3 linked regions of the Oryza sativa Japonica Group genome follow. The protein of the gene in region 1 binds, or shares a complex with, the protein of each later gene. Links are inferred from orthologs where the notes say so. Each region holds a gene or a part of one and is shown in the gene's direction. Other genes may lie near its edges.

What was found.
Region 2: DNA-directed RNA polymerase II subunit RPB2 (region 1) and DNA-directed RNA polymerase II subunit 4 share a complex: the UniProt entries of both Arabidopsis thaliana proteins name them as parts of the RNA polymerase II complex. The link is inferred for Oryza sativa Japonica Group from reciprocal best matches to the Arabidopsis thaliana genes NRPB2 and NRPB4.
Region 3: DNA-directed RNA polymerase II subunit RPB2 (region 1) and DNA-directed RNA polymerase II subunit RPB7 share a complex: the UniProt entries of both Arabidopsis thaliana proteins name them as parts of the RNA polymerase II complex. The link is inferred for Oryza sativa Japonica Group from reciprocal best matches to the Arabidopsis thaliana genes NRPB2 and NRPB7.

Annotation. Positions count from the first base shown.
Region 1 is NC_089037.1:25,903,840-25,906,926, forward strand, and holds the end of DNA-directed RNA polymerase II subunit RPB2, read left to right. Parts: coding exon 1-16; intron 17-91; coding exon 92-187; intron 188-293; coding exon 294-409; intron 410-482; coding exon 483-552; intron 553-631; coding exon 632-685; intron 686-763; coding exon 764-907; intron 908-998; coding exon 999-1,298; intron 1,299-1,481; coding exon 1,482-1,904; intron 1,905-2,017; coding exon 2,018-2,131; 3' UTR 2,132-2,571; downstream 2,572-3,087. UniProt on the Arabidopsis thaliana protein: DNA-dependent RNA polymerase catalyzes the transcription of DNA into RNA using the four ribonucleoside triphosphates as substrates. Second largest component of RNA polymerase II which synthesizes mRNA precursors and many functional non-coding RNAs.
Region 2 is NC_089036.1:900,824-903,848, reverse strand, and holds DNA-directed RNA polymerase II subunit 4, read left to right. Parts: upstream 1-1,504; 5' UTR 1,505-1,594; coding exon 1,595-1,643; intron 1,644-1,720; coding exon 1,721-2,100; 3' UTR 2,101-2,388; downstream 2,389-3,025. Other genes in the region: protein LPA3, read right to left, coding at 1-23, 124-216, 511-541, 690-991. UniProt on the Arabidopsis thaliana protein: DNA-dependent RNA polymerase catalyzes the transcription of DNA into RNA using the four ribonucleoside triphosphates as substrates. Second largest component of RNA polymerase II which synthesizes mRNA precursors and many functional non-coding RNAs.
Region 3 is NC_089039.1:19,589,738-19,593,823, reverse strand, and holds DNA-directed RNA polymerase II subunit RPB7, read left to right. Parts: upstream 1-1,296; 5' UTR 1,297-1,375; coding exon 1,376-1,491; intron 1,492-1,581; coding exon 1,582-1,747; intron 1,748-1,853; coding exon 1,854-1,904; intron 1,905-2,218; coding exon 2,219-2,284; intron 2,285-2,609; coding exon 2,610-2,678; intron 2,679-3,155; coding exon 3,156-3,221; 3' UTR 3,222-3,459; downstream 3,460-4,086. Other genes in the region: 1-(5-phosphoribosyl)-5-[(5-phosphoribosylamino)methylideneamino] imidazole-4-carboxamide isomerase, chloroplastic, read right to left, coding at 187-394, 684-739, 839-935. UniProt on the Arabidopsis thaliana protein: DNA-dependent RNA polymerase catalyzes the transcription of DNA into RNA using the four ribonucleoside triphosphates as substrates. Component of RNA polymerase II which synthesizes mRNA precursors and many functional non-coding RNAs.

The DNA of each region.
Region 1 (3,087 bases):
CTATCAGTTAAGAATGGTGAGTGTGCCATCTGTCTGCTTTCTTGGTCTGTTCGTATAGATTTGATTCTTAAACATCCAACTTTGTATTCAGGACACATTGGCCTATGTGCTATACTACCCACAAAAGCCTCTTGTTACTACTCGTGCTATGGAACATTTGCACTTCAGACAGTTACCAGCTGGCATTGTAAGTGAACAATCTTAACCGCGGGACACCTTGTTTGCTTTCTCTTCATGTTCTGCATTTGTTTTGTGATGTAATTACTAATACCTTGCTTTGATGATTTGGGAAGAATGCAATTGTTGCTATTGCATGCTACTCTGGATATAATCAAGAAGATTCGGTTATTATGAACCAATCTTCAATAGATCGTGGATTCTTCCGATCTCTGTTTTTCCGCTCATACAGGTATGAAGACATTACACTGTATACTTTATAAGTTCCATCCAATGCTTGTAGCCTGACAGTCCTTCATATGCAGAGATGAGGAAAAGAAGATGGGGACTCTTGTCAAAGAGGAGTTTGGCCGTCCAAATAGGGAGAATACTATGGTAATGCTCCCCTAGATTCATTGAAGATTTTATCTTTGTCGGTCTTATGAACTAATGTTTTTTGAAATTTTCCTTGCAGGGAATGCGTCATGGGTCATATGATAAACTAGATGATGATGGACTTGCACCACCAGTAAGTAGAGAACATTATTGTAGGCTTTTCTTTATCATGGCGACATAATAGATGTGCTGATATATATTCATGTATCAGGGTACAAGGGTATCTGGTGAAGATGTCATTATTGGGAAGACATCTCCTATTCCACAAGATGATGCCCAAGGGCAAGCTACTAGATACACAAAGCGTGATCACAGTACTTCGCTGCGCCACAGTGAAAGTGGGATGGTGGATCAGGTCTGTTATTCCCTCCGCCGCCTCTTATGTTTCTGTGCTGTGTTATGACACTGAAATCAACAGACTTCTAAGTCTACTATCTTTTGTGCAGGTTCTCCTAACAACAAATGCTGATGGTTTAAGATTTGTTAAGGTTAGAATGCGATCAGTTCGTATACCACAGATTGGGGATAAGTTTAGTAGTAGGCATGGTCAGAAAGGAACTGTGGGAATGACTTATACACAAGAGGACATGCCATGGACTATTGAAGGCATCACACCTGATATTATTGTGAATCCACATGCTATTCCATCCCGTATGACTATTGGTCAACTGATTGAGTGTATTATGGGTAAAGTTGCTGCTCACATGGGAAAAGAAGGAGATGCAACTCCTTTCACTGATGTTACTGTGAGTAATCTTTTATAGACTTAGTCTTGATTATATTCTACTTGTTTTTAAGAAAATGTTCAACCCCTAGCTTACTGCAATCAGTTATAATCTAGTTATAGTCCCAAGATTATGTGATAATCAATCACTTTTTCTTTTATTGTTCAAACCTGCAATAATCTGAATTTGTTACATAAATTTCAGGTGGATAACATCAGCAAAGCACTTCATAAATGTGGTTATCAGATGCGTGGATTCGAGACCATGTACAACGGTCACACTGGAAGAAAATTAACTGCCATGATTTTCCTTGGTCCTACTTATTACCAGAGACTTAAGCACATGGTGGATGACAAGATTCACTCTAGAGGCCGTGGTCCTGTGCAGATACTTACCAGACAACCTGCAGAGGGGCGCTCACGCGATGGTGGTCTCCGGTTTGGAGAGATGGAGAGGGACTGTATGATTGCTCATGGCGCTGCATTTTTCCTTAAGGAAAGGTTATTTGACCAGAGTGATGCGTACAGAGTCCATGTATGCGAGAAGTGTGGGCTTATTGCTATTGCTAATCTCAAGAAGAATTCCTTTGAGTGCAGAGGGTGCAAGAACAAAACCGACATTGTCCAAGTAAGTATAATTCCTTCTTCTCTGTACTGTTAATTACTATGAATCTAAAGCCTATTTATAGAAGTAATAACTACTATGGCAATAACGGGAATTACACTGCTACCTACTGACAGGTGCATATACCCTACGCGTGTAAGCTTCTGTTCCAGGAGCTTATGGCGATGGCCATCGCTCCCAGGATGCTCACTCAGGATAACAAAACTGGGAAGGATCAGAAGAAACGTTGAGACCAAATATTACATGGGGCACTCGCTTGTCGTACTATGTCTTCGTTCATAGTCAATACTTAAATCTAACTTGGGCTTAGCGGTCTGACCCCCTGAGGCAGAAAGCAGTCAGTAGGCCACATCCTCGAGTTATATATATCCCTGGTGTGCTGTGCCCTTGGATTATGCCAAATTGACGCCATGGGCGAAGTGGTGCAAAGAAATTTTGTTTCTTGTATACTAGGGATACGGATTAAGGGACTGTACTGAACAATCTTTTACCGGGACTAAAATGTTGTTGTTTGTACTGTTTCTTTTTTATTTTTTTTTGGCTTTTGGGGATACTAGATCCCAACTCGAATATTGCCTGTATTGGCTCTACCAGCACGATATCAAAATTGTTTGATGAGAGATCTTGTAAGAAAATAGTAATAATTTAGTGTTAACTACTGCTAGCTTTCTGTCGGGTGCGTCATGAATTAGCCTCAATTACATTTTTTCTACTGAGGCCTGGATGTACTTCGATGTTCAGAGTCTAGTTTTAAATGGTACAATTAGTACACACTAACTGTTTCATGTTTCAAAGTATTTCTGTGGCTAATAACAACACCTTGCTTAAGAAATTTTAAGTCTGTTCGCATATTCATGTTTGTAAACAAAGGAACGGTCAGAGTAATTGTTTCAGATCGTGCGCTTTTTCACAAAGAAATGGAGCAATCATGTGTACGCCTTCAATGAAACGTGTCAAATAGCCCATAAGAATCAATAGTGTAGCTTCTACGATATCCAAACCAATATCATTAGCTTGCACACTAAAACATATAGCCCAAAATCCAATTGAATGAATCGAATTCAATTCGGAGCCAAACAAGATATAATTGAATTTTTGTACAACCACCATGAGTAACACCACATCTCTCTCCTTCTAGTAAACCAAATCAAACTCCATTCGCCACCCAAAACTTGGAACACAAAAT
Region 2 (3,025 bases), on another chromosome or scaffold:
TTTTCTGGTAGGTCAGGAAACACCTGGAATCAACTAGAAGATAATTTATGAGAAAAGATTTGCATATGCCCACAAATGCCAGAATGATTCTGGAGCAGGACAAGGCATGAAACTTGAACTTACAATACAAGATCTAGTCCCCTTGAGTTCCTTAAGTTTTCTGGCAACAGCAAGAGCAAGCTGGATGTTGGCGTCGATGAACTCGTCCGAGGAACCCTTGAAAACGAAGCAAAGCAGGGTAGGATGGTTAGAAACAAGCGTTCATCACACGTATGTGGCAACAAAAGCTAAACCCTTTTTAACTTGAAGCCAAGGAAAAAGAGAGATTCTGCTTTGAAACAACATTATACAGAGGTAGCAGCAGCATTCAAACTGAAACTAGAGCAGTCTATATAATATACATCAAGATTAGTCTTTGCATTGTTACAGAATTCACTCATAACAAAGCAAGAAACTAGAACAATGAGTGTGAGTTATGAGACGAGCTTGAGATAGAAATGCAAAGTATACCTTGTAAGAAGAGATGTTGCTCGGCAGAGGCCTTTTCACAAGCACCACCACCAAAAAAAAAAATGAGACAAGGAGGATGAGATAATGCAAGCATTATTAATAACCAACTAAGTAAAAGATTAGGCGAGATGGTGGCGCGAATCTATGGAGGAAAGGGAATGAATAGGTCGCGGGCGTACGGGAACTCGATCTCGAGGCGGGTCTTGCCCTCGTCCATGGCGCAGGCGAGGGAGCGGGCGGCGTCGGAGACGAGCACGTCGTAGGACCGCGGCTTGTACACCGACACCCCCGCCCTAAGCGCCTCCACGTCCCCGGCCTCGGCGCGCGGCGAGCACCGTGCCGCCCCACCACGCCGCCGCGGGAACGCCCCGAGCCGCGGGGCCACGACCGGCGGCGACTGGCCGCACAGGCGACTGCGCGCCGCGGGAGCGGGAGCGGGAGCGCGCGGGCGGAGGCCGGAGAGCGGCGCGGGTGTCGCCATGGCCACGCCGCCGACGACGACGAGTGGTGGAGAGGAGGAGACGAAGTGACGAGCAGCGCCACTGCAATCCACGCGGGCGCCTCGAGGCCACCACCTGCCTCACTGCCACGTGGAGCCCGCACCACCGCACCGGATAAATCCACCAAAAATAAATTAAAAAAAAGAGAGAAGTGAGGTGGAGGTGCGGGGAATCGAACCCCGTGCCTCTCGCATGCGAAGCGAGCGCTCTACCATATGAGCTACACCCCCGATGCTGATCTCCTCGGGAATCGAGCCCCTTCATATCCCCGCCGTCGCCGGGGAAGACGACACGCCCGCCGTCCTTGTCGCCGACCACTCGCCGCCGCCGTCGAGTAGTAAACGGATGGACGGTCCAGATCACCCCGAAAGGAACACGCTCGTGCAGATCGAGCCGGCCCAATGCGTTAATGGGCCTAGCCTGTTAGCGAATCGGATCGTGAGTCCAGCCCGTTAAGAGGCGCCTCTCGCCGCCTTGGTTTCTTTTCCCCTCCCGAGTCCAGACTCCGCCCGCAGCCGCATCGCCAACGCCATAGCCGCCGAGGTTGAGGTGAGCCACCGAGAGGGGAGAGAGAGCGCGCCGAGATGTCCGGCGAGGAGGAGGAGAACGCGGCGGAGCTCAAGATCGGGGAAGGTGAGTCCGTCCGAATCGGAATCGAGTAGAGGTATCGGTTTGATTTGATTTGATACCTAGGGTTTGATGGGTTGCAGAGTTCTTGAAGGCCAAGTGCCTGATGAACTGCGAGGTGGCGATAATCCTGGAGCACAAGTACGAGCAGATCCAGCACATGTCGGACGGGGACCCGTCGTCGCAGGTGTCGCAGGTGTTCGAGAAATCGCTGCAGTACGTGAAGCGGTTCAGCCGGTACAAGAACCCGGACGCGGTGAGGCAGGTGAGGGAGACGCTGAGCCGCTACGGCCTCGCCGAGTTCGAGCTCTGCACCCTCGGCAACCTCTGCCCCGACACCAGCGACGAGGCCTCCGCCCTCGTCCCCTCCCTCCGCTCCGGCGGCAGGTTCGTCGGCGACCCCGGCAGCGAGAAGATCGACAAGATGCTCAACGACCTCTCCCTTATCAAGAAGTTCGAGTAGTAGGACTGTAGCTTATCAGATTTGCTGGTGAACTGTCTAATTAATATCTGTGTTATCTTCTTGAGAGAAGGTGAATCATAATTAGGGCTCATTTGATTTGAATGCTCGTTGAGGTTTGTTCGATATCAAATCGATCCAAAGTTCTGCTGTGTATCAGTGTATCACCTTCAGGAGGAATGTAGTGAGATCATGAAAACCGAGATTAAGTCAATATCTATCTAGTGACTTTTGAAAAGAAAAAGGAGGTGAATTGGAGTACTGATTCATATAATCACTCCTTTTATCTTATGTTTGTCTTTCTGTTATGTATGATCTCTGGGAGTGATGTTTCCATTTTACTATCAGTTATTCATGTGTGATTTTAAAAAAAGGATTTTACCAGTATGTTATTGATTGAAACCGTTGCACAGGATGAAGAAAAAATTGTCCAGGAAACAACCCAGCCAGATTTTCTTTGTTCTGTTTGGTTTAAAAAGAGGTTACCTTACCACGTATTTGCAACAATTGAATGGTGTACTAATTTTTGTGTAGTTTTATTGACATGTGAAGACCAAACATGATTCCACTGTAATCGCTACGAGTAAAAAGGACTAAAGGGGTAAGAATTTCCGTAAAAACTTTGTTCTTCTATCTCACATCAGTGATGAACATCGGCACACATATACTCTGTACTGCACTGGTGATCCGGGAATCCGAATTGAGCCTCAACACCTCCTCAGCATGGTGGAGCTGCTTGTAGCTCACTGTGACAGATTGACATCCAAGTACAAGATAACAAGCACACAGCACAGAAAAAGGCAAGAAGCTTGCATCTTATATACTGCTCCATAGTTACTTACAAGTGACTCGTCTTCTTCTGACTTATATCTACTGAAACCAATCAAAAGACAATATTCTACAAGATCACGGTAAAAACAGATGATGG
Region 3 (4,086 bases), on another chromosome or scaffold:
ACTGCACTTATTAAATTATATACACTGTAAGCACCCATATATTCAATAGTCACAAATGTGGCTTTATATCATAATTATTATTGATAACAGTAAAGAACAAACAACTACAGACAGCTGCTCACAAAAGAACTAGTCCAAATAACAACATAATTATGCTAACAGGTAACAGCTAGATAACATTCTCACCAGGATATGCATGTAGTGCTTCCATGGCAGCAGCTTGACTAGCAGGATCTGCACCAAGCATGATTACATGTCCACCAATAAGTTCATCCTCTTTATATATATTTGCAAATTCTGCTGGAGGTTTGTCTGATTCAAAATTTGTAACAAGTGCCGTGCCATCGTTTGATGAATCCCGAAGAGTAGAGCCAACAATCTGTTTAACTTTCCCCTGAAAATTTATATTAAGAAACAGCCCATCAGATAAATGACACTGTTAATGCCAGAAGTAACTGAACTCACATGGTTGCAAAATGACAGTAGAAATCAATGCATAAGCCTTTAGTTTTAATATCACGGTGTTCCAGGTGAATCGCATCGCAGGAAAATTTGGAGCATACAAGCTGAAAAAACTTCTGAAAGTACTTTGCTTACAAAGTTGGGGTATCAATTTACGATCATGTTAATGTTCAGAACACCCATGAAACATAAGAGGAAGCAAGTGTTCCACTCGTACGGACCTTATGAATATCGATACACGGCCTGAAGATAACGGCGCACACCACAGCACGTCCTCCTGCCAAAACAAACGAGCAATCCCAGTTTTTCCCCCAATTCGCGACAAGCAGTAACAAATCGAGCCATACAGAGAATCGAATCGAAAGGGACATCATACTCGCCACGCCGGATCTCGCCGGCCGGACGGAGACCATCGGGACAGCCCAACCGGACCGCGCCGCCGCGCACGGTGGAGACGGAACCCTCGATGCCATCCAATCCAGTCGCTGCCACAACCAACAAACAAACACCCGCGAAGCAAATTCAGAAGCAAGCAAGCATGCGGGAGCCCCCCCCCCCCCCAACCCAGGACACGATTCGGAGAGAAGAAGAAGAAACCAGCGCGTACGTGCCGCACCTTCGCAGCCGCCGCCGGCGGGGAGGGGAGGGCTCCGCGGAGGCGGCGCAAGGGCGGCGGCGAGTCGGAGTCGGGGTCGGAGTCGGAGTCGGTGCGAGGCCCAAGCCGAACTAGGTAAAGAGATTTATTGGACGGCCAGGATATGCACAGGGGCGTTGATCCGACGGCTCGAACGCCTCGTCAGGGCTAATAATATTGCCTCTCGCGAGAGAGAAGCCAAGCCAGTTGAGTCGAACTGTTGAGGAATCGCTCGCTCGCTCGCTCGCTCGCCGGCGGCGCGGACGAGGAGGGGGCGAGATGTTCTTCCACATCGTGCTGGAGCGGAACATGCAGCTGCACCCGCGGCACTTCGGCCCGCACCTCCGCGACAAGCTCGTCTCCAAGCTCATCAAGGACGTCGAGGGCACCTGCAGGTAGGGCTCGGGATTGGTTGGGCAAACCCTAGTAGGGCGGGGAGGGGATGTGGGGTTCGACGGGATTCATTCTTGTTCGTCCTTTTGCAGCGGGCGGCATGGGTTCGTGGTGGCGATCACGGGGGTGGAGGATGTCGGCAAGGGGCTCATCAGGGAGGGCACGGGCTACGTCACCTTCCCGGTCAAGTACCAGTGCGTCGTCTTCCGCCCCTTCAAGGGCGAGATCCTGGAGGCCGTCGTCACCATGGTCAACAAGGTGGGCGATGTGCCTCCGTCCCTCGCCGGATTGGTATTTGGTGTTGGGTGGATTAGGGCTTGTTTGTGGTTAGTGGCTCCAATTCGTTTTCGTGTTGGTTCTGCAGATGGGGTTCTTCGCGGAGGCTGGGCCTGTGCAGATCTTCGTGTCCAACCATGTGAGTGCCTGCATTGCTTGGAGCTGCTTTTTTCTAATGCTCCAAATTTGTGGAGTAAAAGAATCAGAATTTATGCTAGAATGATCGATAGACGATAATGGTTCAGTACCATTTTCATACACCCAGTTTAGCTGTACCATCAACTCGAAGGATGGTTTTTGTCATAGAAATTTCTGATACTAATTTATCAAACATGTTGGTTTGAACAATCTTAAAGTGACTGGAAGGCAACATAAGGTTCTAGTTGAATTTGTGCTTTCTAACCAACTAATGTTTTGTTCTTGCATTTTCCCGTTTCTATTTTTGTTGTGCAGTTGATTCCTGATGATATGGAGTTCCAATCTGGGGATGTGCCAAATTATACTACTTCTGATGGATCGGTATGCTTCTTTTCTACAGTTACTTCTTATGTCTTGTCCTCTATAAACATTGACAACTGTTGACAGGTTATGATTTTTTTTCCTGTTTATTTATGCTTATTGGTGATATGTCTGACTTAAAAAGAAATGCTGGGGAATGTAATGTAATGTCCATTGTATCCAATTTTGGTATCAGCATGTCATAACTATGCTTGAAATGCATACACATATATGTTCATTGTTTTTCCTAGAAACGAATAGATGTGAATACTGTACTACTGTTGAAGGCTAATTGCTTTGGCCATCTTCTTTTGCTTACTAGGATTTACTTGTTTGTCCGATGCAGGTGAAAATTCAGAAAGATAGTGAGGTTCGGTTGAAGATTATTGGGACACGTGTTGATGCAACAGAAATTGTAAGTTTGTTGACATCTAGTTTCGTGCAAAAAAACAAACGAAAAACCAGGTGTTCCCTGTCTTTTAGATTTTTGTAGCATTGCTCTCAGAGTAACCACCATATGCAATTATTGGTGATGTAACCCACTTTTCCATACCAGTAGTTTGCATGATGTTTTTCTTTCCTAATGTGTGAAAAAGAACAGATGTGGTTTTATCAGCAAAGATCAACCTTGATGTGTGTCAAGTAAATTAGTTGAAAAGTATATCAAAATGAAAATTTGACATGTAATCTTGTAGCAACAAATTGCAAGTAATTACCATGAATGCTCATAAGCTAGCCACTAGTATGGTATCATAATAGATAATTGTTGAATGCATGTGGCTATATTCTTCCCTGAGGCATTTCTGAATCCATGTTCTTGCTGTCATAACTCATAACCCCGTTTAAGCTGGTGATGTGCAATGCTCTAACAGTTTGAATATGTTTGTTGCAGTTTTGCATTGGCACAATAAAAGATGACTTCCTGGGCGTTATCAGTGATCCTGGTGCGGCAGTGTAAATTATCCGGTGACAAGATTACGCCTCTTCATGCTCTTGAACGGGAATATTCCGATGAATTGTAGTGTTAAAATATGGAAGCCCCACTGGAAGGGGCTGTAAGTGGGTTGGAACCTGTATTTTCATCACTATAAATGGCGCTTTACCAAGTTGGCACTGTTGCTTGAGTGTGTTGTGGGATTCAACTTTCAAGCAGTCATTTAACTAATCAAACTCTGACCTTTTTACGGACTGTACAATTTTGCACTGTATCCTTGCAATTAAACATTCAATGCTTCGAACTGCATCCTTGCAAAATAAAACTAAAGAGAAAGAAAGGGCTAATGAAAAAAGATAGGTTTACACTGTCAGTTGTTCATGTTAGGATCAAGCTAAGGGCAGATACAATAAGTTAGCAAGAACACAGCGGTCACCCCACTTAAGTTCTTGACGGCACTTCCTAATGAAGACAGGAAGTATACTTTGATTGTGCAGTTATACTCAATATTCTCACGTGGTCCTTCAATGAAGGATCTGCATACGGCACTGCTCCTGCGGTATTAACAGAAATCAGATGACAGGAGATAAAACATTGGTAAAGAGCAAAAATTATTTGGATATATAAGTCTCAACTCACCTGCAAGGCTGCAAAGAAGTTAGAGCCAGAGGTTAACCTTTCAGTCTTCCTTCCAAAGGGGCTTGCGGTGCATACACTTGATCAAAATGATCTTCCAAAATGATCTTCCTGACGATTCAATCGTTACCATCGTTTCCACGATTCCACTACACAGAAGGGGCTCCTAAGATGCCCCAAAAACTGATTTTGCAACTCAGCATTTTTAAGCAATTAAGGGGATGAAGTTGTCGTGATAGTCTTTAGTTCCTGA